Linked DNA regions of Drosophila melanogaster. The protein of the gene in region 1 purifies or fractionates together with the protein of each later gene. This does not show direct contact. Each region holds a gene or a part of one and is shown on either strand. Other genes may lie near its edges. The genes, in order: klar and alphaTub84D.

Evidence for each region.
Region 2: the proteins of klar (region 1) and alphaTub84D purify together in Drosophila melanogaster (affinity purification with western blotting, with the first as the bait; one study listed by BioGRID). This does not show direct contact.

The regions. Positions count from the first base shown.
Region 1 is NT_037436.4:537,442-542,350, reverse strand, and holds the start of klar (klarsicht), read left to right. Parts: upstream 1-1,736; 5' UTR 1,737-2,452; intron 2,453-4,909. Other genes in the region: Cypl (Cyclophilin-like), read left to right, coding at 1-121; BORCS6 (BLOC-1 related complex subunit 6), read right to left, coding at 289-334, 392-866, 923-1,310.
Region 2 is NT_033777.3:7,528,787-7,533,369, forward strand, and holds alphaTub84D (alpha-Tubulin at 84D), read left to right. Parts: upstream 1-1,966; 5' UTR 1,967-2,472; coding exon 2,473-3,825; 3' UTR 3,826-3,946; downstream 3,947-4,583. Other genes in the region: Rtnl2, read right to left, coding at 169-461, 534-1,008. UniProt on the Drosophila melanogaster protein: Tubulin is the major constituent of microtubules, a cylinder consisting of laterally associated linear protofilaments composed of alpha- and beta-tubulin heterodimers.

The DNA.
Region 1 (4,909 bases):
CTTCGGCAGGGTCTACACGGGCATGGAGGTGGTCAAGCGGATCGGCATGGTGGAAACCGACAAGAACGATCGCCCCGTGGATCCCCTAAGGATCATCAAGGCCAAGGTGGAGAAGCTGTGAGCCAAGGAGGTGGATTTTTTGGAGGAACTGCTAGAATAAGTACGATTTAAACAAGCGAAAGGTATCTTTCCATATGGATTTTATAACACTGATTATATGTATTTACGGAATGACTAGAAAGACAAGATCTCTTTGATTGGTTGATCACAGGATAGCGTAGCCCTATTTTACATGGTGCTGTCCAACATGTCCACCAGCCGCTTGATCTGCCTTCTGCGGAAGAGAAAGTCCATTACACTAAAGGGATCTGTCTTGAATTGACCCACTTACATGCGCTGACCCAGCTGCTCTGTGGGTTTCATCGACTTGGTGATTTCCTCCGCCTTGGCCAGCAATTGGTACTGGCACTTGATATTCGCGTCCAAAGTGTCCGTCAGCTTGTTGACCGCGTTGCGATGGACCTCCACGTTGTCGGCCGTTATGGAGGAGATTGAGTGCAGCAGGTTGCCCAGGTTTTCCATCAGATTGTCCACCGAGCTGGCCAAGTACTGAGCCTCCAGTTCGATGTCGCTCAAGACGCTGCCGTCCACTTCGGGAATGTTGCGCGACTGCAGGAACCGCCGCGTGAGCAGACCGTTGCCGGAAGTGGCTCCAATGGGACCCATGGAGCTCAGGGGCGTGGTGTGCTCCGAGGAGTAGGCCGAAGCCGCCACGCGCTCGCGCAACTTGGCCTCTAGATCGTGGGCCACAAAGTGGCGCATCCCGTCGGAGTCACTGGTTTCGCCGTCCAGCTCGTAGGGCACAGCTGAAAGAAGGAAGATGCTTTAGTCAGGAACTATGGGTAGATAACCTAGAACCCACTGCTCTCTGCCTTCAGTCTGTGCCTTTCGATGTCGCCGGAACTGCCCTTAGAGTTGCTATTCGAGTTGCTGTTGTCCTCCTCCTCCAAGGGATCGTCTTCCTCGTCGGGATCCTCGCCCGAATCCAGGTTAAGGTATTTCTCGCCGTTGGGTCTTGTCTTTGTGCTTCCGGGAATCGCAGCATGGCCAGTGGCTGTGGGCGTCAGATCCTGGAGCACGTGCTCTGGCACCGCTCCCGGATACTGAGCCAGGAACGGAATTTCCGTGTAGGAGGAGGCGGGCGTGGCTCCGGATCCAGAACTCCTGGCTGCCCCTTCCGATGGGCCACTCTCCTCGGCCACATAACCGTAACGTGGGCGGATGGGAATGTCCTGGTGGCGGTGCGACATTCTGCACTGCTCTTTTCAATCCAAGGAACTTTAGGCAGACTAAGAAATGTATGTCAATTTTCTGAATGAAAACCAAAACAAAGCATTTACTGGTATATACCAAATGGTTATCGATAACATCTATTTATCGAATGTATTTGCATTAGGCCCTGTTCAGGCTGAGGTCCACCTTACCTATATCGAGCCTTTTTTACGTAGGATTGACCTATGCAACTTGATGTGCGTAAACTATATTTTCCTAACCCTGATGGAAATTTCGGTTTTAGTGAGAAACAGATTTCAGATGTTATTTGGTTGAGTATATGACAGTTCGATAGTATCGCACACTTACTCTTCACGATTTTGCTTTTACCAAGAAATGGTCACACTCCAGCTCGCACTATCGAGTCATCGATAGGACCGATAGGCCAGCCCGTTAAATCGAAGACAGTCGTGTTTATAATTTGCGGCTCCGAGGTGTGCGGCGCGCATTGGGCAGACTGGAGTGAACTAAGTAAATCTGCAGCGTTCTAATTTAATTGCGCGATGAGCGCGTAAAAACACACCTGCGTAGCGCTGCAATAAAACCAATGTAGATTTTTGTTTATATGTTCGCGTTTCCATCGTATTTTTCGAGTCTTATTCGTTTTAATTGTTAGTGCTCGTACGCTAAGTGAATTGCTAGCAACTTGGGGCTAAAAGTGCCAAAAAGAGCCAGAATCGAAAAGAAGCGGCTAAAGAGGAATAAGCGAAAAGGAAGCAACGAAAACGGTGTTTTGCTCTCTTTCTCCTCTCTCATCCTCGCCATGTGTGTGCGTGTGCAAATGTGTGTGTTGGCGTCGCTAAAAAAGTGCATGTGAAGATTAGGAAAATAATAAGGAAGGCAACGAAAAGTAAAATAAAATTTGATGTACAAAATACGCAAATTGGTGACAAACAATGTACAAGTGGCATACATGAAATAAAGTTTTATGCAAAAAAAACAAAATCGACTGCAGTGCGTGCACTTGTGTGTATGTGCCGCTGCATATGTGTATGTGTGCAGTGTGGAAATAAAGCAAGAGAGAAAAAAAAACTGTTTGCAGCCGGGGTACAAATTCCAATTGGAGTCTCAAGGAGCATAAATTCCCATTCGACGCATGCGTGGCTGCTAAAAAAAGCAAGTAAGTTAAATTGTTTGTACTAAAGAATCTTATAAAATGCAACTGAAAATGGATAAAAGTGTAAAAAAAAGGAAAGACTTTTTTGCCTTCTCTGTTTTCTACGGGTACGTACGAATGTGTGTGTGTGTGTGCTCTCTTCTATTTTGTTCTTGACTTCTTGTTCTTTTCTTCTTCTTGGCCAGTTACTCTTATGCTTTGTCTTTCTTCTCAGGCCGTTCTGCTTCTTTCTTTTAACTGCAAATTGTGCAGTCAGCAAGTATGAGAGCGAGAAAGAGACAGCGATCTTTCTTTTTCACCCACCCACTTCTTCCCCTCTTCCTCTAGCGGTTATATTCGCTTTATTGTATTGGTGCTTTTCCTATCTATATCTACCGTTATGTTTCGATTGCGATTTCGTAATAACTGCGATAATATTTGCTCTCTCTCGCTCTTCTTCTCTTTCGGCTTTCCACTCTCTTCCCTTTTAGTTATGTGTGTGTAACTGCACATTTGAATTGTTGTTGTTTTTATTAAAATGCGTGGGTTGATTTTTCAATCAATCAATCAATCGTTTATTTTGGCATCGATAATATGGAAAAGTGGATTGATATGTGGACAAGAAAAGCATGTGATGAATCAGGAGAAAGGAATTACTCGATAATTAGCTTCTAACTTTTATATTCTGTAAAAAAATGTATTTTTAAACGTCTAAATCCAATAGGAAAAACAAGCAAGTTGGTCGAAAATAAAAGAACTCAATTTCTGGATCCTTGTTTTGTTAAGTATTTCCCTATTTCGCACTTTAAATTCCATTCCATTTCTATAAACAAATGTTGTCGCACTCTTACTGTTTATTTACATCGCATCGAAGAAAGATTTTCCATTTTCATGGGCGACACTTGAACGGGGTTTTCTCTGGCCTTTTCCCACAACCATTTCCTCGTCGAGCACTTAAATGAAAATGCTGTTTTTATTTATTGATTTCCATATTGCATTCATCTCGCGTTTTCCCGCTCGCCCACTCGATGACCCGCTGACCCAGCGGGAAATGGAAAATCGTTTACTGCAACATTTTACTGGTGCCCTCTTCCTAGATTTCCCACCCTCCCCTCTCGTGGGTTTCCCCATTTTCCTCGGGGCGGGGTTAAGGCGATGCCTTGGAGCAGATTAAACGCGCGTCCTAATGCGATTTGCATTCGTCTTTCCCCCGCTTTTCCTTCGACTTTCCAGTACATCGTGCCCGGTTTGGGGTCAGCGACTAGGAAATCTAATTGAGGAAATTCCTATTATTTTCCACTCGCGCGCCGCCTGCTCTTTCATTTTCATTTTCCCCAGCTTAACCCCAAAGTGTTTTGGCTTTAACGCTCACGTGCCGAGTCTCTTTGGGCCAAAGACCTGAAGTCCCAATATGTCAAAATCCCATCTCATGTGCGTGGCCAATTTTGGCCAGGTCTGGTCGGTCTTTAAGCCATGTTTCCTTCTCCTCCGAGATAAGCGTGTTAATGGCTCATTAGCAGTGGGTCGGTTTAGGTCACTTTGGAGCCAAATTGCCTAACCGAAGACTCGAAAATAAGCGAAATATCAACGAGTTTTTAGGCCCAAATCTCTCCCACACTCTTAGCGGCTCTCAAATGGCGGGAAAGTAATGAAGAAATAAATACAAATCATCCAGAAGGAAGTTGAAAATTATTGAATTCATAAAGGAAACGAAAAATCAATCCCAAAGAATGATTGTCAATATCTAATCTCCTAATGTTCGAGTTCGATTAACACAATTGTGTATAATTCCACTTTCCTCTAACTGTTTTCTTAAAATTTTTTGTAAGCCAAATTGAGGTCAGGAAAATTCTTTCAACTCTTGTTCTCTAAAAATAAAAAAACTCGGCATACAAACTTTTTGCCTGATCATCTCTACAGTCATTGTCTTCTCAATTTGGAACTAATTTGGGTAGGGAACTTCAAAAGTGCAAATGAATTTATGAACATTTGGGGTTCTTTTCTTCTGAATAGTAAAAAGGTCTTGGAAAGCAGTATTGAACAAATAGTATACTTAATAGTAGGTACGAATTACTCTAAAACCAAAAATTACAATTTTGTAACTGACATTTTATTCACACCCACTTTTAATATAACTTCTGTGGCACGCTTTTGTTATTTATCTTGCATTATTCGCCCTCATTTCTGATGCTTACATTAATGCACACCCTTCTCGGAATTCATCCCCTGCATTTTGAAGGTGTTATATGTTATATACTGACTGTTATACTGGTGTTCGTTCACCCCCTAGACTTTAAATTTCCACCCGATGTAAGCGATGTTGGTCTTCATTCTTGCTCGCCAGTTTAATTACAGCATTTCTGATCATTGATTCACTTGCTTCGCTGAGCAACTTTTACAGATGAGATCATCTCATCTGGAATTCCCCACCCCAAACCCCTTTTAATTAACAGTTTCTTATGTATGCTCGAATTTATTCCG
Region 2 (4,583 bases), on another chromosome or scaffold:
AAAACCCCTTATAAATCAGAAAAGTTAAGTAATGATGTTAAAATTATGGCCAACTGATTAGAAAAGAAAAAGTATATGAGTGGAAAATATGTAGAATATATATTTCCACAACATTAATTTTGAACAATAACATCAAAGAGGGTGGATTCTTATTCATATGAATATAGTTTAGCGAGCCTCAACTGGCAAATACCGGTGCTCGCAATCAGGACAACGACATCCTTTGTGGAGCTCTAGGAGATTTCGAAGTGGCTCATTATCGCATGGCTCATATAGTACTTTGCCCTCTTTGGATTCCTGACCCTCGTATGCTGACTCCGGCGGACACTCTTTCTGAATACAAATCGGTTTTTCAACGTTCGATTTATCTATCTTGCATTTACGGAACTTTCGGATCTGGACATCAACGAATGGCTTATACGACTCGTACAGTTTTGGTACGGTAAAAATAAACAAGTGTCCTATAAAGAAAAATTATTTCAATTTAATGTAACTTTATAGATAAAGTAAAGTAAGACAACATATGCACATACCAAATATAAGCAAAGTCAATCCGTTGAAGCAATCGCCCAGCAAATTGATGCCGCAGAGCAAAACTAGGAACTTCAAGGAATCCTCCCACTTTTCCACCAGCAACAATTCTATCATACGGTTTAAAATTAAATTAATATGGGAAACTGCTTTCCCGGCCAGATAAAGAGTCTCCTCCCGGGGGATTTCTATCTTCGGGTGAGGATAGAAACGTAAGATCTGATCTTTGTTCTCATCCTTCTTCCAGATACTCCAGAACTGTACCAAAAGGCGATGGCCAATAGCTGCTATGAGAACTGTGATCCCTACCATGCTTATCACACTGATCACCGAGTGGACCATCACATCCAGCAGGAGGAGCAGGATGCCCGTGAAGACGATCAAAGTCTTTCGGCTATTGCGCCATAACAACAGGTTCTTCAGATCCATAAATATTTGGCTGGAGTCCTTAGCCTTTATCAAAGTATCGGTACTCATATTTTCGAATGTCTTTAGAGCACGTTCGGATGCTGGTTGTGAGATCAGAGCAAATAATGTTTTAAGTTTTCACAGCTGACTAATATTTCAAAGGTCAACCGAATAGACAAACTAAAATGATTTCAAATTGTCAGGTCGGAATGTATTTCGATTCACCACAATGTTTGTGTCTTGCTTCAATTCAGTTCACAGTTAAATTTGAAAAGTTTCTCGACATTGTATTTCTCAAAATGAAGAAAGCGAAGATATTCTAAAAAATATTTTTTTAAATTTTACTACATTTACCTAGCTAATACCGAATGCTTTGCGCACATTATTCATCCTTTTTTTTTAGCTAACTAGCGGGTTTAAATAGTAGTTTTTACTTACGCATCTTCAGAAAATCTTCAATTGTATGAAAATATGAATAATACACAAAATAGTAGCAGATTCCAAAAAATGTTAGCCTTTTGACACGAATAGCACAGACTGGTCCCAATATAAAGAAATACATCTGTGGATTATTTCAAAGCATACTCATTTCGCGCGCAATTAATCGATAAGTGCGCAAAATGGATCGATAACTGCGCAGTACTGTACTGCTCTCGGAAATTACTGCCTTAAAAATATACCAAGCGGGTCAAAAGAGTTCGTTGTGTTTACGGACGGGTTGCTCCATTCTTTAAAAATATATGAACATAAAAAAATTACTTACTTCTTTTATCTCTATTTCAATTTATTTTGTTCACTATGACCTACTGACTTAATGCAAAAATGCACTATTCGGTTTACATACTTTGTTCATTTTGGTAAATAGTAATAGTAGATGTTCTAAACACATGTAAAATTACTTAAACGGAACATTAGTAATTTGACGCTCTCTTGAAATAGGCATTATTAATTGTGTTAATATGCAGTTCACTTATACAAGGCATTGGTATTATTGAACTGTTTGGTATCTTTAAATTTCCCACCGGCGGTCACACTTAATCTACTGAACAAGCGTGCTTGTGCTAAATAATTTTACTGATCTTTAAATCTCGTAAATACCGCCATTTAGCCGCATCTGAACACTCTTGCCGATGGTAATCAATTATTGGCCAAGAGCTAGCAATGTTGTGTAAAAATCAGCGTGAAACTAAAGCCGAATTCAAACAAACAAACCAAAAAGCGGCCTGACAGGGTTTTTCGTGCCCCCAGAGCAAAATCGATTGGTAAAAGAAACGCGTTTCGTATAATATAGATAGTTATCTAATATCTAATCTAATATCTGAGTTGTTGTGAAGCCCTTTTTCGTAAAACAGAGCTACTGGCGATTTACGTCTGTTCGAAATCCATTCCCGGGCATTCCAACGTATACGCCCGCAGAGTCAGACCCCAAAATCCGTAGGCTTACACTTTTTCCGTTGATTTTCCGTAGTCGCGTGTGAGAAACCGAAACTCGAAACAAGAAACCCGGAATCGGAAACCCCATTAAAAATCAATATGCGCGAATGTATCTCTATCCACGTGGGCCAGGCCGGAGTCCAGATTGGAAATGCCTGCTGGGAGCTCTATTGCCTGGAGCACGGCATCCAGCCCGATGGCCAGATGCCCTCCGACAAGACCGTAGGCGGAGGTGATGACTCGTTTAACACCTTCTTCAGCGAGACTGGAGCTGGCAAGCACGTGCCTCGCGCCGTGTTCGTGGATCTGGAGCCCACTGTGGTCGACGAGGTCCGTACTGGAACCTACCGTCAGCTGTTCCACCCCGAGCAACTGATCACCGGTAAGGAGGATGCGGCCAACAACTACGCCCGTGGCCACTACACCATTGGCAAGGAGATCGTCGACCTGGTGCTGGACAGGATCCGCAAGCTGGCCGATCAATGCACCGGTCTGCAGGGCTTCCTCATCTTCCACTCGTTCGGTGGAGGTACCGGCTCCGGCTTCACCTCGCTGCTGATGGAGCGTCTCTCCGTGGACTACGGCAAGAAGTCCAAGCTGGAGTTCGCCGTGTACCCAGCTCCGCAGGTGTCCACCGCCGTGGTGGAGCCCTACAACTCCATCCTAACCACGCACACCACCCTCGAGCACTCCGACTGCGCCTTTATGGTGGACAACGAGGCCATCTACGACATCTGTCGCCGAAACCTGGACATCGAACGACCCACTTACACTAACCTGAATCGTTTAATCGGCCAAATAGTGTCCTCGATCACCGCCTCTCTGCGATTCGATGGAGCCCTAAATGTGGACCTCACCGAGTTCCAGACCAACCTGGTTCCTTACCCCCGCATCCACTTCCCGCTGGTGACGTACGCTCCCGTCATCTCCGCCGAGAAGGCCTACCACGAGCAGCTGTCGGTGGCCGAGATCACCAACGCCTGCTTCGAGCCAGCCAACCAGATGGTCAAGGTGGATCCCCGTCACGGCAAGTACATGGCCTGCTGCATGCTGTATCGCGGCGATGTGGTGCCCAAGGACGTGAACGCCGCCATCGCCACCATCAAGACAAAGCGTACCATTCAGTTCGTGGACTGGTGCCCCACCGGCTTCAAGGTGGGCATCAACTACCAGCCACCCACTGTCGTCCCAGGCGGGGATCTGGCCAAGGTGCAGCGTGCCGTGTGCATGTTGTCCAATACCACGGCTATTGCCGAGGCCTGGGCCCGTCTGGACCACAAGTTCGATCTGATGTACGCCAAGAGGGCCTTCGTCCACTGGTATGTTGGTGAGGGCATGGAGGAGGGCGAGTTCTCCGAGGCCCGTGAGGATCTGGCTGCCCTCGAGAAGGACTACGAGGAGGTCGGCATGGATTCCGGTGACGGTGAGGGCGAGGGTGCTGAGGAGTACTAGAGCGGATAGGTGTGCATCCCTCAAAATCTTGCTTATTTTCATACGCTCCCACTCGCATGTATAAATTTTCTGCGATAATGTATAGCGAACAAAGAAGAAAATAAAAACCCAAGAAAACACCAATTTATTAACCACGTTTAGTAAAAGGCACGAGAAAGTTAGTACTTTAAAATTAACTTTAATTTTATATATGACCAAAAGTCATGCATTAAAAAGTTGTTCACGTGGGGTACATCTGTATATTATTAATTTGCTTCATTTTTATTTTGTTGGTTGGTTAATGTCCTCTATTAACATAGGTTATTTATAATTTAACAGTCCACAGGAAACCGAACATCATAAAGGTGTCTTATCTAGGATTTCAACACCTGTATACAGTAAGATTAGAGAACGCTCTACCTGGCTAAACGGTAAGGTTTTACCAGGCTAGAAACTAAAACTAGAAATCCACGTATGCAAGTCGATGGATCCAGCTTTCCATATCATTCTCCAATCATCTAGGGTGTCCAAATAATATAAAGTTTTTCTTTGCTGCATAGAATTCAGCCAATAAAATTGAACAGAGATCTATCCATATTTTCATTCATTTCTATTTACTAAGCGAAGATTCATAAAAAAAAAAACCAATAGAAATAAATTTCCAGCCTTAATAATTCTTGAGATCTCGCTAGTGATCCTAATGAAGACAAATTTATATCCTCAATAGAGTTTGATTTAGATTTTTCGACGTGTAGCGAGAATAATTATTTCTTCTTTAA